Cricetulus griseus: one gene and its partners. The protein of the gene in region 1 interacts with the protein of each later gene in a pairwise test. Links are inferred from orthologs where the notes say so. Each region holds a gene or a part of one and is shown on either strand. Other genes may lie near its edges. The genes, in order: Fate1, Slc38a1, Slc7a1, Gpr25, Timmdc1, Bnip3 and Syngr1.

Region 1 (4,231 bases):
CCTTTATTTCTAAGTACCCTGTCCTTAATCTTAAATTTTGAAGTTAGAACATTTTTGAAATGTATAAGTTGGATTAATTTAGCAGCATTTATAATCAAATGTATTTTAGCAGCAGTAAGTCTTTCCTTGGCAATCAAACAATTTAAAGAGAACAATATGGCATATAGTATCCAGATTCTCTGTGTATTTTCCGTCTTTATGTGGCTTTTTTATTACTTTATTTTTACTATCTTTCGTTTATTTTTTCTGAGACAGGGTTTCTCTGTGGAAATCTGCCTGCCTCTGCTTCCTTCAGCAAATCCTACCGGCGTGAGCCACCACACCCAGCTACTCTATTTCCTCCTGTTATTTTTTCTCTCACAAGCCTACATATATTTTTAAATGCAGTGTAAACCTTTAGAGGTTTTTCTTTATCTGGATCTGTCTGTATCATCTTGGGAGTGCTGAGTCCAAGGCCCAAGAGCGCCGGGACGGCGTGAGCCTATGGAAGCTGTTCCAATGCCTCTCAGCACCCTGACAGGGCAGGCTGTGGTGGCAGGTTTCCCTCATTCTCTGGGAACCTTGGGGCATGGGGTCATCCCACTCACTGACCCATTCCTTAAGGTTTGCACTTGATTCTTTCAGCACATTGGTTGAGTACAAGCACCTGACTGGGAGGAAGCCATTTTATTTAAAGTCCATTAGGGATAATAATCACAGCTGCAGTATACCTTTGCAGAAATACTGAGAGTTGAGTGTCTGATAAACTCACTGGGGATCAGAACCTGACTAAATTGACACATACATCTGGTCTAATCTGTAGAAAAACTGAGGCAGAGCTGAAACATACAGCAGGGTACACAAGCCCAGCATGTCCCTCTTGCCCCTCCCTGCTTCCTTCCCAGGATTCATATCAGACAAGGCCATCTACTTTGCTTGAAGACTCTGCATTGGAGGAGGCAGGATGTTCTGTACAGAGAAGCTCCTCTGATAGAGTGCTGTACCCTAGATTACTGGCCAGTCATGGGCTTGTAGAAACCATGATAAGCATGGGACCTGTCACTGCTTTGGGCACTTATGGATGCTTGGGCCGTATGCCAGCCCTTGTCTCTTTCTAGACCATGATGGAGGATGGGATCCTCCTACCCGTGAGTAGCAAAATCAAGGGGAGATGAATCAGGGCAGCTCACAAAAACAGTACCACTTAGAGCACTATCTCATCTCCAAGTTGCTTACACAGCAGAAGAGAAGGCGGCCACGAGACCCACCAACAAGATACAGTGGGAACTCAAGGTGCCAATCCAAGGCCTGAGCACAGAGAGGGAGAACTGGCTCCACCCTCTTGTGCCAGTATATCTCCCTCACATTTCTACCCCTGGAAGAGGCGAGCTTCCAAGTGTCTTCTCTGTGCCATCCACCCTGAACAACCTTACAAATGAATACCTGGTGGTGATGGCAGAAAGCCCTTCCAATGTCAAAGAAGGGTATAAAATGTCCATTTCTGAAGATCTAGGGACTGGAAACTTTGACCAAAGCCAAGAACAACCAGTGATGTCAGGTGAGAATCCCCTAAAAAGCCTGTTGGGTATAGTTAATCATGTGCGTTTACTTGTGCTGCTTCTACAACATCCCAGTCATTGTGCATGCTGTTTACTTAGTCTGGAAGGTTATTCGTTTGTTTTAGGTATTTCAGTGTTGATTTATGCTTTTCTTTTGCCATATTAGCTTGTTTTGGTTTTTAATCATTCATGAACCATTTACATATCTGAATTTACATGGATGGAAGATTTTATTATTGGTATTTCCTATTCTCTCATACATAGAGATGGTTTGTGTTTGGGATTTCATCTCTTGATCATTGCTCATGCTACAGAATCCTAGGCCCAGGGCCAGATTTTCAGTAAATACATACTGACCTGTTGAACAGATGGACAAATAGGCTGAGCATCAGAAGTGAATGGGTATTGAGTGATTTCTGCTGTTTTCAGTACCCAGAAAGTTCTGGTAAAACCTTTAAAGCAGTATTCATAGCAGTCTCTGTTCTTCTTTCTAGAAATGATGGAACGTGGGTCCCGGTCACTGGGAGGAATCCAAAGACGTCCAAGGGCAGAGCAAAAACCTGCTGGATCTGGTTCAGGCCAGTCATTTTGGAATGTGACTGGACCTCGTCCCAAGAAAGGGGTATTGACAAATGGTGGCTAGTTTAGGGTGGGAAGTTCTTACTTTGGGGCTCCTGTATTCCCATGGTAGATATAGCTAGAAGTTGATCATTAGGAGGAGGAAGCTTCCATATACCAATAAAGCAAATGAATGAAGGGTAGATCATTGGAAGGTTAGGGTTGTACTGTATAATGCTGGGACTTCAATGCTAGAAGTCTGCATGCCTAGCAAACATGTTGACTGGAAAATGCATCTATAGTTGACCCTCTACATTCCTAGGTCTTGCATCCATTGGCTCAATCGATCACAGATGGACACTGTCTGTGGGTGGAGGTGGAGTGATTACATCTCTAGAGAATACATGCAAGATGTTTTTCTTGCAATGATTATCTACACAATATAGTATAAGAATTACTTAGATGGCATTTACATTTTATTAGACATTATAAATAATATAGTAATTATTTCAATTATATAAAAAGATATGATTATGCTATATTCTAATATTATGACCTTTTACACAAGCAACTTGGGAATCTGCAGAGCTGCATAACCATAGTGAGGCGTTTATTCTAGAAACAGTCTCCATGGATACCAAGGGATGACTATACAATTCTTTATAAACTTCCAAGGTGTGAAATGATGTTTTCTTTTAAATTACTTAAAATCATCTTGAAGGTTTACATTCATCTTCAGTAGGTAGCTTGGGTTTTCAAGGGATGCCTGCATGTAAAAGTTCTACCAAAAGACAGAGAAGCCTGTCACTGCATTTTCCTTGGCACAGCACACAAGGCTAGAAGCTACCAATAGGCATGGTGTGTGTGTGGGGGGGGGCACAGGAAGATGAAATGACATCATGGGGCTCCTATGGGGTGTACTGTTGATTCATGCACAATGCGGTGCTAAAAGGGTGACTTGGAATGGTGTATCCTTTCTTTCTGTAGGGTCATCAGGTGCAGATGCCCCGGATGCCAAGAGATCACAGTCAGGTGGATGGCTATCTCCAGGAGTTTCCTGGCAACTTCCAAACAGGGAGGGTCCCTTATGAGCGGTAAGAGTTCAATTGTCTTGTTCCTAGCTACTGGGGGAGGAACAAGCAGAGGGTAGGGCCATAGGGACTAGTGAGCATCCGAGTCGAGAAGCAGATGTATATACTTGAAGTATTGGGATACTATTGCCTCCTGGCCATTTGGGATCTACGTATGCTTTGGCAAAGCCTCCGGCTTCTTTACTACACAAGGGAAGGACTGGGATCTTTATCCAAAAAGCCTTCAGGCATACCTTATTGCTCTGTGTCTTTTCTATGGCCACCAACACCTCTGAGCCATGTAACCTTTCCTTCCAACAGTCTGGAGGCAGATTTAGTGGCAGAGATTGGCCTGGAAGAACTCAATGGGCTGGAGATGGAAGTCATGAGAAGGCAGGTAAGCATCTGTTGTATAGTTGGAGGAAGCATCATAGTGCTTTGGAGTGGGTGATTTTGGCAGTTGTGAACAAAGCCACCCCCGAGTTTTCATAGCCTTTGTCCAAATCATATCCTGTAGCAAATGAAGTGAGGTTGGGCTCTCCTTTCTGTTCTTCTCAGGCCTCATGCCTTGAGTACCTCATGTTGATGTTCACCCTTGACTTTCCTTTATGCTGGAGATGCTGGACAGGAATTGGGGAAGAGAAAAGGATGTGGAAGGGGGAACAAAGATTCATTTTGGTTTTGGTCATATTTTCCCCCTACCCTTATGTCTTGCCTTTCTCATAAGAGTGATTCCTGCTCACAAGTCCTGTGTTTGGTCCTTCCACAGATGCAAGTGATTTCTGGGCGGCTGCGTGCCCTTGAGGACCAGGATGCCACGTGGCGCCATAAGGAGGCTGTGCTCTTTAGTTTGCTGGTCTCAGTCTGCATAGCCAACCTGTGGCTTTGGATGCGTCAGTAAAGTTTCACAAACACCACAACCCCATTAGAGCCATTCCTTTCTTTCGTCTTCCCTTTGCTTTCAAGGATGCCCTTATCCACGCCATTCTATCTCCCAGCAGCCCCCCAGGTAGCAGTTGGGTCATTTTACCCCTCTGCTTGGGCCTTCTGCCTGGAGATACGCTC
Region 2 (3,500 bases), on another chromosome or scaffold:
GTTCCCATGGTGAGCATCAAGTATCCCAGCACACCTTCACTGTATTTGTGCTGGACTAGCCAGGTACACAGAACCCGAATGCAAATGACAGCAGAGGGCAGGGCATTGCTATTCTCTGACATCCATCAATAACTGAGGTGACTTGCCCACTGCACACTTAGAAAGATGATATCTAAGTTGAGCACGGTGATGCACACCTTTAATCCCTATACTCTGGAACCAAAGGGAACTGAGTTCAAGGCCAGCCTAGTCTGCAAGGCAAGCTCCAGGACACCCAGGGCTGCATAGTGAGACCCTATCTCAAAAAACAAATAAAACAAAAAAAAAAAGATTGCATTTAGAAAAAAAATTAGTTCCACAGCTTACTACTTTGGCTGAATTTTTAGAATCAATAAAGAAAGACATCTGTTAATTTTCTTGGGGGATTTTTTTTTTTTTTTTTGAGACAAAGTTTCTCTGTGTAAGCACCATGGCTGTCATGGAACTCTCTCTGTAGACCAGGCAGGCCTCAAACTCAGAAAGATCCCCCTGCCTCTGCCTCCTGAGTTGTGGGATTAAAGGGGTACACCACCACACCCAGCTCAAACCCATCTTTTTATATAAAAAAAAGACCTAAAAAAGAAAGAAAGAAAAAAAAGTCTGAGAGAAAGAAAGGGGAGGTCACATAGCTTCTTTAACTGTACCAAGCACCTTCCAACTGGGACCCGAGATACAAAGGTAGGACCATCATTTTTACATGGCAGTTGAAAGCCCCCTGATGATTCCAACCTGTGTGACTGACTACATAGGCCACTACTGTCTTCCAAGCTGCCAACCAAATCCCAACAGTACAAACGTCTTTAAAGTGCCATTTTGGAGTGTTTCCTCTGCCACCTCCACATAGCAGCAGTGGCCTGAGGGCGTGATTAATCAGAGCACCAATCAGCATGCCACACAGGAAGAGAAATGTGGAGACAACTATCTGGAGAGATGGTCACAAGAATATGAAAGTTGACCTAAGCCAGATAAAGGGTGTGACTATGTGAGCATGAGTGTATGCACAACAGTGTTGTGTGTTTCTAAAGAGGTATGAATGGATTGTAAATTACAGAGGAACAATGCTGTGCCTCCTTTTAGAGATGAGTATCTCCAGACAGGTGATTACAACAAGCAAAAGGAGTAGTGCCCTTAAACAAGTAAACTCACCTTTGAGTTGAAGGTGACGTATTTTGGCGTACACATGTCAGTGACATTGGCACTTATTGTTGAGTTTTGTTCTATACTCATGCATGAGATTTGAAATTTCTTGTAGATAACCTGGTATTGAGAAACACAGGAGAATCAAGAGAGACTGAATTAAAGCCAAAACATGAACAACTATTACAGAGCTTTGAACATAAAAACCACAGCAATTGCTTCAATCAGAACTTACCACTATTAGGAAAAAAACCATGCAGCTCAAGGAAAATCCACTAGTGTAGCCAAGGTACCCTTTTAAAAAAGAAAACAATCAATTAGCATTTTATTAATGTAATTATTAATATTCATCATTAGTATTAAAAGTATCAATTACGTGTACATATTACTTCAAGCATGTTTGGGACTTCACGATATGACCATGTGTCCATATGAAAACAAGATATATCAGCTGGGTGTTGGTGGCGCATGCCCTTAGTCCCAGCACTTGAGAGGCAGAGGCAGGCAGATCTCTGAGAGTTCTCGGCCAGCCTGGTGTACAAAAGCTACACAGAGAATCCCTGTCTCTGACAACCAAAAGAAAAAAAAAAAGAAAAAAGAAAAGAAAAAGAAAACAAGATATTTTATTTTTTAGTGCTATTTTATTTGGCAAAATAATAATAGTGATAGTAGGGCTTTTAGTAAAAGCATATTTGGTGTTTTGATTCCAGACATCCTTGGCACATTCTAGGACACAGATCTCAGAATCTAGGAAGGAGCCTCCTGGCTTTGACCATGTCTCTGTGTTGGTGCACTCTAGTGTTAAACCGAAGCTCTTTCTTGAGCATCTACTGTGGAAATCCTCAATGTTACTGATAAACTCTCTCTCAATGAGAGGCCAACACAAGTCAATGTAAGCTTCAAGGAATAAACAGAGCAGTGGTTCTCAACCTTCCTAAGGCTTCCTTTATCATAGTTCCTCATGGGGTGGGGACCTTCCTCCAGCATGAAATTATTTGCGTTGCTACTTCGTAACTGTCATTTTGCTACCATTGTGAATCATAATGTAAATATCTGTGCTTTCCAATGATCTTAGGTGACCTGAAGGGTTCTTCGGCACTGCCCCCACAAAGGGATCGTGAGTGGCCCACAGGTTGAGAACCACCTAAATAGAGCATTTGTGGGCCTTACTCCTCTTGGAATACTAGAAAGGTGGTCACCACAATCTCCATAATGACAGATATACTCCCGTGAACTACATTATTCTTACACTCCGGGAAAGGACCATTCTCTATACTAACTGGAGGGTCAGAAAAGCCCACAGAAATACAGAGAGCACAAAAATAAGTAGTTAAGAAAAATCTACTTGTAAACTTCATAGCTACCATGCAGCTCTCAGATATCTTAGCTAAACTAAGACAAAAAAATAATCAAAACCTCCTACGATTCATAATTATTTTTGAGAGAACTTCAATCCAAACATTTGCCTTGAATTAGCCCAGATTTTAAAAGTGCATCTCGGAACGTTTGGAGATGGCAATCTGGCCTCATTATTCAGTGTATGAAATCCCAGTAACTCCAGGCACGCCTGTCTCCAAATATAAGCATAAAAACAAATGTCAAGACCAAATGGATGACTTGGAGATCATCTGCCTTTTTTTTTTTTAACTTTAAATTTCTCTCTTTTTTCCTTTGATGGGTGAAGTCACCGAGACTGGCTACACTCTAAACTGAAGTGTGATTCGTAACACCTCTGTGCTGCCTTGCTAGCAGATTTGGAATGTCTGAGTATGAATGATCAGAATTTTAGACACTACAAAGGAGCCAAAGTGGAGAGATCCTGAGGTTAAGAATTAGGGAGACCCTGTGTCTGGATTCACAGGATGTAGGTAGGGGTGTCACTCAGTAGTAGAGGACTTGGGTAGCCTGCACAAAGCCCTGGATCTGATCCCCAACACCATGAAACAAAAAAAGAACAGAACTTTACAGGAGAATTCCATTTTCTGGACTTTTCTTACAGCAGCCTGTACGCTATGCTATTGAAAACAGTAAGAGTCTATTCCAGTCCCAGAACCGCTGTCCTTCCAGCTCTGGCATTGTGCAGGGACTTCTTAGAAAATCACATCATGTCTTTAATCTCACATTAAGATCAGGCCTCATTAATAATTGCAATTTATGATTTATCTTGTCATTATCCTAATGAAGGCAGGCAAAGGTGTTCATTTTCTTTCTTTCTTTTTTTTTCAGATGGTGTTCATTTTCTAATGTTCCTGATTCATCTGGAACTAGAGAGAGCCTGAGATAAAGGTCAGGTCTTTGCTCACCTAGGTTCTTCAAGAGACATA
Region 3 (3,983 bases), on another chromosome or scaffold:
CAAGTTCTCATTGGATGCTGAAGGCAAAGCTGGCAGGCTCTGATAGATTAGAGGCTCTCCCTCTGTGAAGACTGGGATACCCTTTACAGTGAGATCCGCTGATAAAGGCTTCCAAAAGTTCAGGAGACCTCCTTACAAGATCGGCATACCGGTCATATCATTTCATCACTGCGTGATTTTTCCATTCGCTGTTTTAAAACAACGTGTGTTTGGTGCCTTATTATAATTCCAAACACTGCTCAAAGTGTTCCTATGTCATCGACCTCCCTCTATGTGTTCATTAAAACTGTCTGCTGGGAAGTATAAATTAATAAATCATTGGTTAATTCCACAGGAATATCATATCTGTGGCTGACAATGACCCCCATTATTGATAAAGGACGCTTAAGAACACACATATCATCCTTTTCTCTTTTTTTTCCTACGAAGACTGCGAGGCCATGGCGGTATTTATATGGTCTGTTCCCCTCACCCCATGTCCCATGATTATTGGGCCTTTATGTATATGCATCTAATTTTTAAAAGCTTTTTTTTGTGTATTTGTGTTTTGTCTGCATATGTCCGTGCATCATATGCTTGAGTTACAGACAGTTGTGAGCCACCATATGGGTCCTGGGAATTGAACTGGAAAAGCAGTCCGCGCTCTTGACCACTGAACCATCTCTTCAGCCCCATAGACTGTAGTTCTTGATTTTGGAGCAGAGATCTGAAGGAGTCTGGGAGGCGAAGAAGAGATTTGGGTACTAAGCCTGGGGTGAGTCCCTCCAGGGTGAGCTGCCACCACTGGCCCTAGCGAGGAAGTACCATATCAAAGGGAGGGGTTTTGGGGCCTTTCCTGACAAGGGCGAGGCTGAGGCGTTAACTAGGGCATTATTGTAAAGAAGTCCAACGACAAAAGATTTACAACCAAGTCCTAAAATTTCTTTAAAGTGTGTCTCTCATCCAGTTTGGAGCATGAAACCTGGTAAGGTTAGTTGTCAATGGCTCTCCATGTGGGGGTTGGCACAGCTCAGCCTCTGTTACCCACCAACTCTGGCCCAAGCAGGCTTGAAGCTTCTGGGGACCAAGGACAAGCGACAGGGAAAGCCCGGTTTCGGGTGTCCCCGCCCACAGGGGCGCGGCCGCGCGGCGCTGTCATTGGTGGCCGAGAAGGTGACGCGCAACACTGGCCGTGGCCGCGGGGCCCGCGGAGGGCGGCGCGCGGCTGATGAAACCGGCTCGGATCCCTCCCGCGCGCGCCATCCCCTCCTCCAGCAGGTGTGAGCGGTTCTTTACCAGCGGTCCCCACCCAGCTCAGCATCCCGTTGCCTTCTCGGTGAGTACGCGACTCGGGTGAATGTCCAGAAAGCTCTAAAAGCCTGGGTCACCTCTCTGTGTGTGGGAACCCAGGGTCTGGCGTGGCCGCTCAAGCGAGGCGAGGGTTCTTCTTTACCTCTCCATCTCCGGGGATACGTGCGTGGGACGCACACCCGTGTTCCGGTCACCTCTTCCGAGTCCATCTTGGTCCTTTGCAGGCACGGCATGGTGCATGATGCAACAGCGAGGGGGTGTGAGCACGGGTGACCCGGGTACTCTTGCCACGCGTGGCCGTGAAGGGCTCCACGTGGGCGCGGGGACTCGTCTACGCTGACTGCCTCCGGTGGCATCCGGAGCCGCCACTGCCTGGGAGATCTTCCCTTACATGGCGCGGTGCGCGGCACCCCGCCCCGCCACGCGGTCCCGGGCAGTGTCGTCAGCCGAGCCGCGAGCAGGGTGGACTCCATCAGGTCCCCAGGCCGGTCCCCTGTGAACGGAGACTTGGGATTCCCGCTCTCGGGGTCGCTTCCGTAGTCCCCAGAGATGACTTTGGAGGGACTCTTCGGGTGGGTTTTCCTTGTGACCTGATTCGGCCTGCACAGACTGTTCTTCCAGATGGTGTGGAGTGGGAGGAAGTTCTTCCGGCTCCATAGACAACCTGTGCTCAGCGTGTTCCTCTCTGCGTAGTGGAAGACTTCCTGGGCACGGGTAGGTCACCATCCACGCTTGTCCGCAGAGCAGCCTGGTGCCAGTATCGCTCTCTCCAGTCCACTTCCTGGCGTGTTGAGATAGCCTGACATGTGCCGTCAGGAAAACAAAACAAAACAAAACAAAAAAACTGCATTTCCCAGCACCCACGGTTATACTTTCACGTGCTGGAGGACAGGGCTGGGATTTCAAACATAGGTATATTTTCCCTAAAGGTGAGTAAAGTTGCACTAGAACCCCGAACATTATTTCTATTTGCATATCCTAGCTGTGATGGAGTCAGTTTGTAATTTACTTGGGATTTTTTTTTTTAACATTTCTTGCCATTCATATGTGGTTAAGATAATAGGAAACCACGATACAGTCATCCCCCTGTTATTTTTAGTTGGTCTCAATGGAAATTATTATTTTTATGTGAGCACGCCCTTTTGTCAACAAAACCGAAGGGCTTAAGTCATGTGACCCAAATAGAAATTTAGGGGAAAGCCAACATGTGGATTGAAACAGCTTTGAAAAGTTTAGCATTTTGAGATCATGTTTTATCTAAGGCTGAAATTTAGAGGGCATATAAGGGGGGCTTAAATAAACAAACAGAACAAGAGTTAAATAGAAAACAGAGACACCTCAGTGGCTGGTTTTAGATTTATCTATTTATTAAAGGTCTGAAAACAATCCTAATTCCATTAGGGATTTCTCTTCTAAGATACATGGTCATCTCTCCACCCCCACCTCACCCTGTACCCCACTGCCACGCACCCCCTTCATATAGGCCAGACTGGTCTTAAACTTGCTACTTAGCAAAAGATGACCTTGAGCTTCTGATCCTCTTGCCTCCCTCTACCTCCCAAATGCTGGGATTGCAGGCATTCACCCCCAGATCCAACCCAGGGTCTCCTGCATACCAGGCAGGCACTTCACCAACCAAGCTACACCCCCAGCTCAGATAGTATTTAAAAATTTAAAACAGCTTTCATTTATTATTCTTGTGTGTGTGTGTGTGTGTGTGTGTGTGTGTGTGCATGCGTGTGAGTGTGTGCGCGTGCGCAAGCTGCACATGTGCACGTGTGTGCCACTGTACATGTGGAGCCCATTCTTTTTTACCTTTATGTGGGGCTTGGGGATCGAACTTGGGTTGCAGGCTTGCATAGCAGACACATGGCAAGCTGGGTTATTTTGTAGGCCACAGATCACATTTTCTGATGTATTTAAGTCTATTTATTGGTGTTTAAGTCTGTTCTCTTTTTACTAAGCCCTGTAAAAACAAGTAACAGCATGGTTGTGAGATGCCCAGTGAACTGCACCTTCCTCCTTACTAACCATGGAGATAGAGGTGTCTATTAACACTAGGGAGAAGTGGGAAGAAGGAAGTCCTTGTTAGGGAAAGAAATGTCCAGTAACCCTGGGGACATCTAGACATCTGTGCCGTCTCACCCACAGGCATCACCTGTAATGTCATTTCACCTAGTTCTTAGTCACCACTCCAGGCAGGACCTGTAGTTAACACCTTAGTGAGTGGCTCTCAATCTTCCTACTGCTGCCACCTTTTAATACAGTTCCTCATGTGGTGACCTCCAACCATAAAATTATTTTTGTTGCTACTTCATAACTGTAATTTTGCTACTGTTATGAATTGCACTGTAAATATCTGATATGCAGAATATTTGACACAAGACAGGGTCCTTTGACCCCAGGGATCCTGACCCACAGGTTGAGAACCAGTGCCCTTGTTTTTGTTTATTGTTTTCTTTTTTTGGTCTTTTGAACCACATGTGAGGCTGGGGAGGTGGGGAGTGGGTGTGGGAGGGTGGTGTGTGTGTTTGGGACTAATACTAGGGCCTCTAACATGCTAAACATATGTTAGCTACTCCATCACCGAGTTGCACCCCTGGCCTATTGCCTGGATGAATTTTAGCAGTAGATCAGGTAAGATTGGCTTAGCATTTCTGTGTGAGGAGAGGGCAAGTGCTGCCCTGAGGGGA
Region 4 (2,769 bases), on another chromosome or scaffold:
CAATGCCTGCCACATGAAGAAGTCACTGTTAATGGAATGGAAAGGAACAAAACTGACAATCCAGTCCCCCCCCCCCCAATTTCCAGGGTTGCTCAATGCATCAGTCACTCATTCTTGGTGACAGCAGAAGTGACTCTGGGAAGGCATTGTTAACATTAGTTCCAACACAGCCTGTCAAGGGATGGATCTGTGTTAAGAATTTGTGTGTAGCTCCTTGAATAGAAAGCACGTCTTCCCTCAGCCACCCTTGCCCCTCCTCTTGCTATCCCATGCAAGTTGACATCTTGCACACCTTTATCCACGAACCTTCTCCTTCCCCTATGTTCACAAGGGGTCTCTGAGTTCCTACCTCACGATTTAGAATAGCAAATCTGTTGTTTTGTTAGGGGCCATTTTGGGTCATCTTTTGTAAGAGGTTAGGCCCCTGTTTGACTTACCAGCAAGGTTTTGAAGGATAGGGACGGAAGAGGGTTAACCCAGGAACCTGGGCCCTTTCCAGCAGGGGACTCCAACTAGGACTTCCCTCTCTAGCGTTAACCCTTCTGCACTGCTCTGAACCAGAGCAGAAGTGCCGCTCCAGGTGACACACCTAGACCTTTTGGTCTAAGAGTTTGCAGGGGAGAGGGGAGGAGGCAATTCTTAATCAGGAATCATTAGAGGCTGCCTCAACCTCTAGGCCTCCTCTGTATGCTACCCAGCAGAACAAATTAGAGACAGAAGATGAGGCATTGTCCTCCTTTAGAAGCCCTTTGTGCCTGGTCTGTCTCCTCCCCTCTAAACACTAGGAAACAAAAGCAACTCCTGGTGAGAACCGAGAACAGGTTAGAGTTCTAGGGCACTCATTGCCCCTTGAACCCCATATTAAACCCCCCCTGGCCCAGATAATAGGCCAAGCACCCAGAAGTGATGAGCCATCAACACTGAGTGGCCACAGGTCTCCCAGCCCTAAGGACATCTCCTCACAGTTACCAGTCCAGCCCCAACTTGGAAGCCACCATTTCCACCACAGAGGTCTGCCCCTCCCGGCCCACACTCTTCTCCCCCTCCACCTTCCTGCTCACCCCTTCACCTCGGCCTGGGGTGGCAGGAAGGGAGGTGCTGGGCACTGGCCGTGAAAAGCAAACTCCCTTCTGCTCAGAGAGAACTGCACTGCTCCAGGGTGCACGCAGGTCCAGTGACCCTAGCCATGCAGTTCACCGAGGCCTGGAGCCACAGCTGGGGCACGACGTCCTGGGACTATTACTACTATTCGGGCTCTGGCTCCCTGGATCCAATAGAGCTTTGCCCGGCCTGGGACCTGCCCTATGGCCACGCCATCATCCCTGCGCTCTACCTGGCGGCCTTCGCCGTGGGTCTGCCAGGCAACGCCTTCGTGGTGTGGCTGCTGAGCGGGCAGCGCGGGCCCCGGCGGCTGGTGGACACCTTCGTGTTGCATCTTGCTACCGCCGACCTGGGCTTTGTGCTCACACTGCCACTGTGGGCCGCGGCGGAGGCCAGGGGCGGCCTCTGGCCCTTCGGCGACGGCCTGTGCAAACTCAGTAGCTTCGCGCTGGCGGCCACACGCTGCGCGGGTGCGCTGCTGCTGGCTGGCATGAGCATGGACCGCTACCTGGCTGTGGGCCGGCCGCTTAGCGCGCGGCCACTGCGGAACCCGTGCTGTGTGCGAGCCGCGTGCTGCGGCGCCTGGACTGCGGCGTTCCTGGCCGCTCTGCCCGCCTTGCTGTACCGCGGGCTGCAGCCCAGCCCCGACGGCGTGGGTAGCCAGTGCGCCGAAGAGCCGTCGGATGCGCTCCAGGGCCTCGGCCTCCTGCTGCTGCTGCTGACCTTGGCGCTGCCGCTGGCTGTCACCCTGGCCTGCTACTGCCGCGTGTCGCGCCGCCTGCCGCGCGTGGGGAGGGCCCGGAGCAATTCGCTGCGCATCATCTTCGCCGTGGAGAGCGTCTTCGTGGGCTCCTGGCTGCCCTTCGGCGTCCTGCGCGCCATCTTCCACCTGGCGCGCCTCCGGGCGCTGCCGCTGCCCTGCGAGCTGCTGCTGGCGCTGCGCTGGGGTCTGGCTATCGCCACCTGCCTGGCTTTTGTCAACAGCTGTGCGAACCCGGTCATCTACCTCCTGCTGGACCGCTCGTTCCGCGCCCGGGCCAGGTTCGGGGTGTGCACGCGCGCCGGGCGCCAGGTGCGCAGGATCAGCTCAGCGTCCTCGCTCTCCAGGGATGACAGCTCGGTGTTCTGGGGTCGGTCCCCAAAGGTGAACTCTGCTTCTGCCTGGTAGCCTGGTGCAGATGAAGCGGCCGGGCCGCGGAGTTCCAGAGAGAGACGAGAGGGGACGGAGCTCCAGAGAGACGAGGGGGACGGTGCTCCCAGATGCGCCCCGGGGACTGTCCATCAGCTTTCTCAGAGCTGGCTGCTAAGACTGGCTGTTCTCGAAGGCAGGCCAATTGGTGTGGGAAGGGTGGGCGTGTTTCCTTAATTTTCCCCAGGGCAAGAAAGGCTGTAAACACCCACCTGGAGAAGAGCTGGTTCTGCTCTAGATGTGAGGGAAGCGGGTTTTCCTCTCTGCTTCATTTAGTAGCTCAACCCAAACTTCCAACCCAGACTCTAAAAGGCCCTTCTTGTCCCTGACTATTCTTGCTCCTGCAAAAGCCTTTGCCCTCTGAGAAATTTTTTTCTCCGTGCCAGTCCTCTAGCAATGCCACCTCAAAAATGTTCGGTAGAATGAGAGGAGTGACAGCTCTCTTCGCTCTGGTCATCTTCGAAGCTGTATTGCCTGAA
Region 5 (3,932 bases), on another chromosome or scaffold:
CATTGGCTATGGCTCTTCCAGAGGTCCTGAGTTCCAATTCCCAGCAACCACATGGTGGCTCACAGCCATCTATAGTGCGACCTGATGCCCTCCTCTGTCAGGCAGGTGTATGTGCAGATAGAGCAACATCTACATTAAAAAAAAAAAAAAAAAAAAAGTGTGTGTGTGCAAGAGTCCAGAATTGGGTGTATGGTGCTCTGGAGCTGGAGTACAGATGTTTGTGATATGCCTGGTATGTGCTGGGAATCATGCTGTGGTCTTGTGAAGCCCGGGTTGGCCGGCCTCATATATGACTCAATCGGGTCTTGAATCGTCCTTGGCTTCCTAAAGGTTGAAATTGCAGCGCCGCTTCATCCCGTGAGAGGGCATTCCAATGAAAACTAGACTTCGGAGCACATGTTAGCAGAAAATAACAGGAAATATCAGTACCAGATATTAAACGATAAAAGTTCCAGATGTTATGCCTTCTCGCATATTCTCGCAGTAAGCGTACGAATACTGTAGCGGAACCCACGCTAAGGAAAAAAAAAGATGCCCACAGCTGATGCTTCACAAAGCATCCTCAAATCTTGGAGCTCCTCAGGTGCGCCCTAATGTCGGGGGAAGGGTGGACTGTGCTCGGCCCACCAGAGCAGCGTGGTGGTGCACGGACTTCCACTTGCACTGGATAAACTACCGTCGCCTTCTGTGTGGCCTCTGTGCATCTCTTTTCTTTTCTTTTCTTTTTCGAGACAGGGTTTCTCTGTGTAGCTTTGGAGGCTGTCCTGGCACTTGCTCTGGAGACCAGGCTGGCCTCGAACTCACAGAGATCCACCTGCCTCTGCCTCCCGAGTGCTGGGATTAAAGGCGTGCGCCACCAACGCCCTGCGCCTTTGCGCATTTTAAACGATGCCACCTCACTACAGTCGTGAGCACTTCAGGCGGAACGGAGCCAGGCCCAGTAGACCGCACCGGCGGGGCGGAAACACCTCAGCACCTCACTGAAACGCCACCGCCGCCAACTCAGTTCCGGGGCGCGACTACCCGAAGCGGAAGGGCTTTCAGCCGGGGTCCGGCTGTCGTCCCTCCCCTCGGCCTTTTGCGCGACGAGGGCGGGACTTCCTGTCTCGTGCTTCCGAGTGCCTCCTGCAGCGAGCAGGCTGGCGACCGGAAGTGAGGTTCTGTGTCGCGAGCTCACCTCTGCTCGGCTCCGCAGGTCACCCTCTCCCGCGGCGCTCGCCAGCCCCTGCGTGTCTGTCCCCGGGTGGGAGGGCGCCATGGAGGCGCCGCCGCCCGCGCCCCGCGGCCTGCTTAGCCCGGCCTGGGGTCCTTTCTCCCGAGTCTTTGCTGCGGGTGCTGTGGCTGCGGATTCCCAAGACTTTGCGGAGCACCGGGAGCCGCATCCCTATGTCTCAGAGCCGGGTTCCCCGGAGTCCGGATGGGACCGCCTCCGGCAGCTGTTTGTCAAAGAGTAAACTTGCCTCGGGTGTGTGGGGAGGGTGACTCGGGGGTCCCCGCAGCGGGCCAGTGTCGCTCGCCGAACGTCCTCTCTGCCCTGGAGATAGCCGCCTCCCGTAGCTGCTCGACACGCTGGTTTTTTGAATCAGACTCATTCAAAGTCACGCTCTTAAAATAGCATCGTACTCCCAGTTTTATATATTAGAAAAGTTGAGTCAATCCGGTTATTGTCCTGTAGTGATCACCGGGAACTGTATTTGGAAGTCCACACTAGCATTCTTTGCATATTTCACTTGCTCTCAAGCTTTGGTCTGTCTTGGCCAGTCGTGGCCCAATATACCTCAAGTGGGAGCTGGGGAAGGGCAGAGAGAATTGTCAGTTTATTCTTATTTTGCACAAGGAACTGAACATTGTGACGACTGCTCTCCTTCCCTTCTCTGCTCTTTCCTACCTCTCTGCCCCCGTGTTCTCACCTCCGTTTTTAAAAATTGTGTATGTATATATGTGGTTGGGGGTGTGTGTACGTGAGTGCAGATGCCCTCGGGCCACAGGCATCAGATCCTGGTGAATTTGGGGTCACCTGTAGTTTCAAGTCAGCTGACATGATTCTGGGAACTGAACTCAGGTCCTTCTTAAGATCAGTACGTGATCTTAACTGCAGAGCCACCTCTTCACCCCGCCCCCCCCCATCTTTTTTGAGACAGGGTCTTGCTATGTAACCCTGGCTGTGTATGTAGACCAGTCTGGCCTGGATCCGGAAGCAACATCCCATTCTCAGCCTCCCAGATTCTGGGATCACAGGCCTGAGCCTCTCGGCCCAGCGGCTCTCTTTTGCCCTACTGGGGGATCAAACGTTAAGACCTCTTGAGCCCCAGGAGCTACCCTCCCAGATCTACCTCACTTGCCAGAAACTAGATATTAAAATAAACAATGTGAAGAGCAAATGATTAGCTCTTTGTATTACTTTCACCTAATATCTACCCTCATTTATTACTAGAGAAAGTTTATCATTTCTTGAAGTAATTTACCATACTACACTGTGTTATCAATTGAGTAAATAAGTTGGGCCAGATTTATATGTAATTATTCTATTACTTTTCTTTTTTATTTTGTCTTTTTAAAAATTATATTTCTTTATAATTATATCTCTATATGTGTATGGGTGTTTTGCTTGCATGTCTGCGTGTCCCATGTCTGATAATGTCAGATCTCCTGGAACTGGAGTTACAGACAATGTGAGCTGCTATGTGAATACTAGAAATGGATTCTGGGCCCTCTGCAAGAGCAGCACATGCTCTTAACCTCTGAGCCGTTGCTCCAGCCCCTCATCATCTTTGTTTTAGTACATAATATGTCAGATTTTTCTCAAAGGTCCTTCCAAAAGCTTGTATATTTTTGAATGATCTTCTGTAGTGTATATGAGATTTATTTTAGTTTTTGAGTCCTGGGAGTCTACCTGTGTTGTAAGCCATAATGACCTCTTGTTTCCATGTCTCAGTTGCTACTATGGCCCACAGGAGATAGTCGTTTTGATCATTATTACAAACCACAGAATATTGGAACTAAAGAAAGCTTGAAAAATAATGTTATGCGATTTTTATGCTCTTGTCCATGATGTGAAAGGGAAAACCAGGGTTCAGAGCGATAGATCTGGCTGCATGCTACAAAACAGATCCCAGATTACAACACTGTCCTATGTCTAGTTCCATCCTGTTACTTAGTCCTGTTACCTTTTCGCTATTCTTTAGCTGCTTGGACTGAGTTTGTGACATTTTAGAGTCTTTATTGTTTTTATATTTATTTAATTTTCTTTCTTGGAGGATTTTGAGATGGGGTCTCAGGTAGCCCATGTGTAGGTAAGAATGACCTGATCTTCTGCCTCCACCTTCCAAGTGCTGAGATCACAAGAGTGTACTGCACACTCAGTTTGAGCCTTTACGGCAGTAAAATTGAGGTAAATATTACCATCATTGAACTATTCAAAGGACTAAACAAAGAGGCAAAGTGTGGCTGTATTATACTTCAAGTCCCTTTACATTTTTTTTCTGAGTTTTACAGTAGATCAGTTTTTATGTAGATGAATTTTTAAAGTTCTGTTTAATATAAAATAAAATTTAAATTATAGCCACTTATGAATGTAAATGTAAGGATTTGTTTTCTAGAGTTTTAAGTTTTTTGTACATGAAGGAAGAGTATAGTGATTGAGAATCCCACACTTTCAAAAGAAAGCTAGCAATCTAAATACTGGTGCACATAGGGTCACTGTAAGAGTGCTGTATTGTTTAACTATTTTAAGAGTCTATCCTGGAAACTTCCTGGAAAACTTTGTAGTTTTTATGTATTGAGAGGCATAATTTGAATGAAACAGCTCTTCCTTATTTTAGATTGGCCTGTGCTGCCTATTACATAGTAAATTTTCTCAGTACTTTTTTTTCCCTTTTATGATTTTAAAGCTAGGCATGGAGGCATGTGCCTGCAGTGTCATCACTTGAGGT
Region 6 (3,500 bases), on another chromosome or scaffold:
ACTCTGCTTGTGGCTGGTGTCTGACATGGGGCATCCTTGTGGGTTTCAGCCTTTAATTTATGGGATTGGATACTAATTTTAGGCGATACTGTCAGAATATAATTGAATTCTTAGACTCCTCTGATTGAATTTGGAAAATTGGTAGTTGGTGTAGGGAAAAGTCTAAATTTGCCATCAGGAGTGGGTGCTGGGAAGAAGATAACACAATCTCAAACTTTGCTAGATACCAGAAAAGATTTGGATAACATTAAGCTTCATAATATACATTGGAACTGGCTCAGATTCTGAATACTAGATCTGCCTAGACAAAAGGAACTGAACTACCCATGGCTGGCTTTGAACTCAGAGCAACATTCCTGCCTTAGTGACTCAGAACTGCAGGGATTCTAGGTATGAGCCACCATCCCTGGCTTCTGAGTATCATCAGCCAGTGAAGGGAGGAAGGCCAGCAAAAGAAATTAGTGTGTCTGGAACTGGAGTGTGGGGATTTGCAGATCTCAGAGGGCACTGGGGCCTCTGCTTGTGTACAGCCACAGAGGGCTCTGGACTCTGCCCTTCTGAGTTGGTATTGTGCTTCATGTGGGCTATGCCTGCTTCTCCATGAGTCAATCTGAGGGCTAATGAGGAAAATTGTGTTTATTTTCAAATTTGTATTGTATAATCATTTTTTAGCTTACTGAGAGGCTGTTGATGGTATAAACTGTAAATCCAATTTATTTCTGAGCTCCCTCCCCTTGTGACCTATTCTGCAACAAGTACACTGGCCAGGTGTTTCTGAGTGTTAAAGCACTTCTTTTTGGGGTTCTGGAAGCTGTATAGTGTTCTTGCTTCCAGCGACCGTGAATGTGTGTTCTGCTTTGGAGACTCACTATGTACCTTTGGCTGACCTGGTACTGGCTCTGTGTAACAGACTGGCCTCAAACTTACTTCTTTCTCTTGAATTCTGGGATTTCAGGTATGCCCCCATCATGCCTGGCTTTTTAAGGGGATATTGTTGGTCACATGTAGCACAGGTCACAGATTTCTTTAAACTGGTAGCTGAAGGTGGCCCTCATCTCTTTTTTTAACATTTATTTATTTAATGTACATTGGTGTTTTGCTTGTATATACTGTGTAAGGGTATCAAATACCCTAGAACCGGAGTTACAGGCAGTTGCGAGCTGCCATGTGGGTGCTGGGAATTGAACTGGGTCTTCATGAAGAGCAGCCAGTGCTCTTAACCTCTGAGCCCCCTGACTCTGAACTCTTAAATCCTCTTCTCTCTATTGGGTTATAGGTACCTGCCACCATGCATAGTTCCTTTTTCTTTTTGGAAATTTGTGGGGGTTTGTGGTTTAGAAACAAAGTCTTGCTTGATGTAGCCCATGTGGCCTTGAACTTGAAGTGATCCTCTTGCCTTTTCTCTCCCTTTTGGTACTGGAGATTGAAACCTAGGGCCTTTTATAATCTCTACCTTTGAGCTATATCTCCAACTCAGATTATAAGTGGATCCATTTCCCTCCTTGCCTCCCTCCCTTGTGTGTGTTGAGACAGGGTTTCTCTGTGTAACAGTCCTGGCTGTCCTGGAATTTGCTTTATAGACCAGGCTGTCTTGGAACTTAGATCCACCTGACTCTGCTATCTGAGTGCTGGGATTAAAGGTATGCCCTATCATTGTCTGGCCCAAGATAGGGACTCTGTAATCCTGGCTTGAACTGTAGTCTTGAACTTGTATAGACCAGGCTAGTCTTGAATTCACAGAGGTCCTCCTACCTCTGCCTCCCAAGCCCTGGGACAAAAGGTGTGTGCCCCCCCCCCCTGGTTTCTCGGATCTTTGTAGCACAAACTTGTAACATGAAATTCTTGGCTAGGCAGGTCCCACTGCCCTTCTCTGCCCCCAAAGAAGCACACGGACACTAGACACTATATTAATTATGAAATTGTTGGCCGTTGGCTAGGGCTTCTTATTGGCTAGCTCTGCCTTAATTACTGACCCATTTCTATTAATCCATGTATTTCCACATGGTCTTTTCTTGCTGGGGATGGACCTGCAACTCCTTTGCCTGCTACATGATGACTGCTTAGCATCTCCACAGAAAGAGAGATATTTCCTGTTTGTCCCTGCTTATATCCGGATTCTGCCCAGCTTTGTCACTTCCTGTCTGGTCAATCAGTGTTTTATTCATTAACTAATAAGAGAAACATACACAGAAGAACATTCCTCATCACAAAATGACCTCAAGGCTGGTGGGTAGATTTCTTTCTTTGTGCGGTTTTTTTTTTTTTTTTTTTTTTTTTTTAAAGAGGGTTTCTCTGAGTAACTTTGTAGATCAGGCCAGCCTTGAACTCACAGAAATCTGCCTGCCTCTGCCTCCCGAGTGCTGGGATTAAAAAGGTGTCTACCATCACCGCTTGACTGAGTAGGTAGATTTCTAACTGCCCTTTTTGTTTTCTTCAGGCTCCTGGGTAGAACTGCACTTCAGCAATGGGAATGGGAGCAGTGTACCAGCCTCCGTCTCTATTTATAATGGTGACATGGAAAAAATACTGCTAGATGCCCAGCATGAATCTGGACGAAGTAGCTCCAAGAGTTCTCACTGTGACAGGTAGGTTTGCTGGATGTCTTCTACAGTGTTGATGTTTCAGCAGATGGATAATAGCAGTTGTGCATGCTTTTGTGGGTGGGCCTCCAGGTCTAAGGCCACATTTGAGAATAACTCTGGAAGCAGCCTTGATATAAGGAACCCTGGAGTCTGCTGGGATGAAGTGGTCTGGGGCTCAGTTTAGAGGGACCATGTTAAACCTAGGGGCAAATAAAAAAGTTCCTTAATATACTGCCTCTGTTTTGAAACTATTCAGTGTGAACACCAAGTCTGGGTAGTTTTGTTCATGACCCCCAGCTGGCTTGTGTTCCTAGGCAGCACTACTAGGGAGTGAATCCAAGGTGTGTGCTGAGAGTCAGTGATCGAAGGTCAGATGTTTCTGAGGGCTATGCAGCAGATCATGCAGGAGGGTGGAGCGTCCCTCAGAACTGTAGCTGGCTCCCTATGCTCATTGTTTGGCCCTGTTCTGGTGTTAGGCACAGGGGAAGAGGCATGCTTCTAAGAGTCCTCTACCTCCCCCATTACTGAGGCAATAGCCCTGCTTGGGATTTATGCTTGCTATGACAGAATTAACATGCTGCTCTGTTTTGTTCGATTCCTAATCAAGTCCACCTCGATCCCAGACACCACAAGATATCAACAGAGCTGAAACAGACAGCCACAGCTTTGGAGAGAAAAACAGCACTCTGGTAAGCCATAGGTAGGAGCATGCTATAAAGTTCAGCATATCATCAGTCTAGTGACTTTTACATGGTATCACACACACACACCTTTGCTCCCCTTTAGATTTTGAGAGTCTCTCATTTAACATGGAGCTTACCAATTTGGCTAGATCACCTGGCAAGTTAGCCCTAGTAATCCTCCTACCTCAGCCTCCCAAGGCTGAGAAGTGTTACACTGTGCTTGGCATTTTACGTG
Region 7 (3,971 bases), on another chromosome or scaffold:
ATCATAGTATAATCGTTGCCTCAAAGATTTCTCATTAGGCTGGAGAGATGGCTCAGAGGTTAAGAGCAGTGACTGTTCTTCCAGAGGTCCTGAGTTCAATTCCCAGTAACCACATGGTGTCTCACAACCATCTGTAATGAGATCTTGTGACCTCTTCTGGCATGCAGGCATACATGAAGGCAGAATACTGTATACATAATAAATAAATAAATTCTTTAAAAAAAAAAAAGATTTCTCTATACCATTACAGAGGGGTATAGTAACACAGACCTGAAACACCATAGTTGGGAAGAAGCAGGAGGATTGGAAGTTCAAAATCAACTCCCTCCATATGGCATGATGAGTTCCAGAAGCCAGCCTAGACTACAAGAGATTGTTTCAAAAATAAACAAACAAACCCTGGAGCCCTTAGGTCAAACTGTGTTGGGATTTGGGGGGTGGGGTGGGAGAGGGAGGATGACATGAGGACTAGGCTGTATTTATTGACCACCAACTGTTTGTGAGGCCTTGGATATAGCAAACAATACCTAACTTGACCAGCTGGAGTCCACAGACAAGCAGAGAGACAGTAATAAGAAATAAAATACATAATTAACTACTGGATTAAGGAAAGAGGCACAAGGACCTGTGGTGGAGAGGGAATGGAATCTCACAAGGTCTGTGGTGTTCCGTCCCCCCCAGCCTTTGCCTTTCTTACAGGTCCCTCCAGATGGGGGTGCGCATGCATGACGTCATCGGTGGAGCGAGGAGGCAAGGTGATTCTGGGGGCCAGAGGCTCTGCAGGTCCCTTAGAGGGGATCATTCCTGAAACCAGCGATTCAGCAGCTCGTTCAATGAGCCACGTACGGTCAAACTAGAGCCCCTTCACTCTATTTGGGACAGACAGCGACAGGAGAGAAGCAAATAAATAAACAAACAAATAACGAAGAGGGTTTCCAGAAGAGCTACAGCTCGGAGGGCTCCCGAAGGCGGGGACGCATCTGCACTCTCTGTCCACACCCCTACTCCGTGCCACTTTGCAGAGGTCATCCCGCTGGCGAGGTGCGCGCCCGGCACCGAGACCCCCACCATAGCACGCGCTCCGAGCTTCGCCTGCCGTGCACGAACGCCCCCTGGCGGAAGCCCCCATCCACACCAGCCGCGCGCAGGAGAGGGGGCGGAGGCGCCGCGCACGCGCACGGGTCGGCGGTGCGCGCCGAGCGGGGGGCGCCGCGCGGTGCAGCCACGATGGAAGGGGGTGCGTACGGAGCGGGCAAAGCCGGGGGCGCCTTCGACCCTTACACCCTGGTGCGGCAGCCACACACTATCCTGCGCGTCGTGTCTTGGGTAAGGACGTAGCAAGGCTGGCTGGGGCTCGGGGTGCCGGAGACCGGCGCGACCTCACCTGGCCGGGACCGGCGGCCCAGCCAGTGCAGGGGATCCCGGCCGCACGCTGCTTTCCCGGCCCCTGCTGCTGAGTTCCTCAGTCCTATCGCCGTGACCTCCAGGCAGTCGCTGCTTTGCAGCTAGCGGCTTGGCTCGCGCGCGTCCGTGGGGACGGAGCCGGGGTTCAAGGCCGCTTTTGGGGGGCGCGGATCAGGGCGTGGATCTTCTCGCTAGGGCGCACCGCCGCACCTGCCGCGCGCGTTCGGGGCGAGGACCTGGAACCAGGTTTTGTTGCTCACCCGGCTCGCTGGAAGCGCTGAGTCTGGAGCAGGATACCAGGGTTTCGCCGAGACCCGCATCTGCTTCGTCGCGTGACCTTGGGCAGGGAACCACCCAAGAAAAATCAGGGAAACGAGGAGGGATTCAGTTCTGAGCTGGGTGGGGAGCGTCACCTCTTCTGTCATGCCTTAGTTTCTCGATTTACAGGGTTGGGAGAGGCCCCCTTGAGCTCTGACATTTTATGAATCGACAATACTCCCACTCCCAACCCCAGCATACTCCTGAGTGGCGCCTAGGTATTGCCTGGAGAAAGGTCCCTTCCACGCAGTGGAGAGCAGGGAGGAGGTCGGTCTGGTCGAAATCTTCTGCCCACCTAGTCGGTGCAGGACCCCCAGAGCTAAGTGGGACTCAGCTCAAACCTGGGGGGTGGGGCAAAAACAGCTTGAAGTGAGGCGGTCTGGGGGCTTTGCACCTGAGGGAGAGGAGGCCTGTGGGCACTGGTGCCCTCTGGGATTGTCTGGCTTCATGGAGGAGGGTTTTGCCTCTGCATATCTGGGGCTCCCTCCTAAAGGGCTAAGACCAGAAGAGCCTGGATTGGTGACACAGGTCAGGGACCCTTGGCCTTTGTGATTAAAGTCAGCTGTGACCTAGGCTTGCTGAGGTGCCTTTCTTGGTTTTCAGGGCCCTGTCAGGATCTGATGGTCTTAGGAAATGTTTAAATGTCCTCCTTATAGGAAGCCTTGTTTCTGGCCATGCAGCCCAGATACATCCATGAGGTTTTGTGACACTGAATTTATTCATTCTTGGCGCTCCCCAAGTTGCAGAAGTCCCTGGAGACCCTGGGTAAAGTGGGAATCCTGGTGGGGTGGGTTGGCTAGGTGCCGCTTCCTCTGACCTCTGGGGCACCTGACTGGGAGGTGGAAGCACAAGCTTTGTGAAGGAGTATGGACTTTTTTTTTTTTTTTTTTTTTGCTTGGGTCATTTCTACCTGAGATGGCTTCATTTAGCAAAGCTTTATTGAGTCTGCCAGGCCCAGAGGGAAGGCAGCATGACTCAGGCTCAGCCCATGATGCTCAGGGAGCCCACAGTCTCACTGGGGAGGGAGCCAGGACAGGGTCTCCCTGCTGTGGAATAGAGGTGCTTCATGGAGATGATGTCATGTTGGGTCTAGTGGGATGCAGAGGGCTTACACTTGTATACATTGGGGTGAAAGGAGGAAATGCTGAGCAGGAGGGAAAAACTAATTAATCTAGCCTAGCACTCACAAGCATTTGAATCCAAAGTCTTGTCACTAAAGACCTGGGTTTCTGGTGCAGGGGAGACTGCAAATCCTGTAGTTTCCAGATTGGAAAGGATGTAAAGGTGATCAAGTTCAATTCCAGCCCAAAGGACTTCATGACGTCACAGCCCGGCTCATGCATCTGGATTCCAAGTGCCTTATACTTTTAGCAAAGGCATGTACTATAGGCTGGAGAAAAATGTTTCTAAAATCTCAGACGTAGAGGCAGGAGGATCAAGAGTTCAAGGCTAGTCTAGGCTACATGAGTCTGTCTAAAAAGAAGTAAAAACATTTTTCCCCCTTATCTGATCATTAAAGTAATGCCTGCTGGTTATTGGAAAGCACAAAAATCATTCATGGTGATTGGACAACATGTTATATATAATACTATTGAAATATACCCTTAGGCTGGGTATTGGTGGCGCACGCCTTTAATCCCAGCACTCGGGAGGCAGAGGCAGGAGGATCTCTGTGAGTTCGAGGCCAGCCTGGTCTACGGAGAGCTAGTTCCAGGATAGGCTCCAAACCACAGAGAAACCCTGTCTCGAAAAACCAAAAAAAAAAAAAAAAAAAAGAAATATACCCTTAGAAAGGATGAAGATGGGCTTGCGCGGGTGTGCTTAGTGGCAGACCACTTGCCCAGCAAGTGTAAGGCCCTTGTCTCCAACCTCAGCCCTGAAGGAAAACAAGGGAAAGAAAGAATGAGAGAGGGTAAATTTCACATCATGCCATGTTCTTTCCATCCCATCTTTTCTAATAGTCTGTGGTATGTAGAGACAGCTTAACAAATTCTGGAGTGGGCCCCCAATGCCCTCTCTCATCAGATATGGGGCCCCAATGCTGTCTCTCATCTACTGTGGGGTCTGGCAGCAGCAGACTTCCCCATGTAGTTAAGGGAGCCTGCGCTCTGTCTGGATCTAAGGGGAGTGATTTGTTTGGGTTTACTGGAACTTTCCTGGCTTATCATAACCCCAGATTCCCAGGTCATTCAATCCTGTACAAGCAGCTGGTACCCAGGACTCCACCACACCACAGCTATGGTCCCAGC

What was found.
Region 2: the proteins of Fate1 (region 1) and Slc38a1 interact in binary tests that used the Homo sapiens proteins (3 or more experiments, as listed by UniProt). The two-hybrid records come from large-scale screens. The link is inferred for Cricetulus griseus from reciprocal best matches to the Homo sapiens genes FATE1 and SLC38A1.
Region 3: the proteins of Fate1 (region 1) and Slc7a1 interact in binary tests that used the Homo sapiens proteins (3 or more experiments, as listed by UniProt). The two-hybrid records come from large-scale screens. The link is inferred for Cricetulus griseus from reciprocal best matches to the Homo sapiens genes FATE1 and SLC7A1.
Region 4: the proteins of Fate1 (region 1) and Gpr25 interact in binary tests that used the Homo sapiens proteins (3 or more experiments, as listed by UniProt). The two-hybrid records come from large-scale screens. The link is inferred for Cricetulus griseus from reciprocal best matches to the Homo sapiens genes FATE1 and GPR25.
Region 5: the proteins of Fate1 (region 1) and Timmdc1 interact in binary tests that used the Homo sapiens proteins (3 or more experiments, as listed by UniProt). The two-hybrid records come from large-scale screens. The link is inferred for Cricetulus griseus from reciprocal best matches to the Homo sapiens genes FATE1 and TIMMDC1.
Region 6: the proteins of Fate1 (region 1) and Bnip3 interact in binary tests that used the Homo sapiens proteins (3 or more experiments, as listed by UniProt). The two-hybrid records come from large-scale screens. The link is inferred for Cricetulus griseus from reciprocal best matches to the Homo sapiens genes FATE1 and BNIP3.
Region 7: the proteins of Fate1 (region 1) and Syngr1 interact in binary tests that used the Homo sapiens proteins (3 or more experiments, as listed by UniProt). The two-hybrid records come from large-scale screens. The link is inferred for Cricetulus griseus from reciprocal best matches to the Homo sapiens genes FATE1 and SYNGR1.

The regions. Positions count from the first base shown.
Region 1 is NC_048604.1:3,690,889-3,695,119, reverse strand, and holds the start of Fate1 (fetal and adult testis-expressed transcript protein), read left to right. Parts: upstream 1-1,431; coding exon 1,432-1,537; intron 1,538-2,032; coding exon 2,033-2,160; intron 2,161-3,083; coding exon 3,084-3,190; intron 3,191-3,487; coding exon 3,488-3,563; intron 3,564-3,935; coding exon 3,936-4,067; 3' UTR 4,068-4,231. UniProt on the Homo sapiens protein: Involved in the regulation of endoplasmic reticulum (ER)-mitochondria coupling. Negatively regulates the ER-mitochondria distance and Ca(2+) transfer from ER to mitochondria possibly implicating it in the regulation of apoptosis.
Region 2 is NC_048595.1:393,090,570-393,094,069, forward strand, and holds part of Slc38a1 (sodium-coupled neutral amino acid transporter 1), read right to left. Parts: coding exon 3,480-3,500; intron 1,471-3,479; coding exon 1,412-1,470; intron 1,297-1,411; coding exon 1,186-1,296; intron 1-1,185. UniProt on the Homo sapiens protein: Symporter that cotransports short-chain neutral amino acids and sodium ions from the extraccellular to the intracellular side of the cell membrane. The transport is elctrogenic, pH dependent and driven by the Na(+) electrochemical gradient.
Region 3 is NC_048597.1:84,248,643-84,252,625, reverse strand, and holds the start of Slc7a1 (high affinity cationic amino acid transporter 1), read left to right. Parts: upstream 1-1,183; 5' UTR 1,184-1,315; intron 1,316-3,983. UniProt on the Homo sapiens protein: High-affinity, low capacity permease involved in the transport of the cationic amino acids (arginine, lysine and ornithine) in non-hepatic tissues.
Region 4 is NC_048598.1:53,014,992-53,017,760, forward strand, and holds Gpr25 (probable G-protein coupled receptor 25), read left to right. Parts: upstream 1-1,186; coding exon 1,187-2,269; downstream 2,270-2,769. UniProt on the Homo sapiens protein: Orphan receptor.
Region 5 is NC_048597.1:51,620,900-51,624,831, forward strand, and holds the start of Timmdc1 (complex I assembly factor TIMMDC1, mitochondrial), read left to right. Parts: upstream 1-1,132; 5' UTR 1,133-1,256; coding exon 1,257-1,450; intron 1,451-3,932.
Region 6 is NC_048596.1:62,077,188-62,080,687, forward strand, and holds part of Bnip3 (BCL2/adenovirus E1B 19 kDa protein-interacting protein 3), read left to right. Parts: intron 1-2,437; coding exon 2,438-2,585; intron 2,586-3,189; coding exon 3,190-3,271; intron 3,272-3,500. UniProt on the Homo sapiens protein: Apoptosis-inducing protein that can overcome BCL2 suppression. May play a role in repartitioning calcium between the two major intracellular calcium stores in association with BCL2.
Region 7 is NC_048595.1:377,245,434-377,249,404, forward strand, and holds the start of Syngr1 (synaptogyrin-1), read left to right. Parts: upstream 1-1,171; 5' UTR 1,172-1,227; coding exon 1,228-1,326; intron 1,327-3,971. UniProt on the Homo sapiens protein: May play a role in regulated exocytosis. Modulates the localization of synaptophysin/SYP into synaptic-like microvesicles and may therefore play a role in synaptic-like microvesicle formation and/or maturation.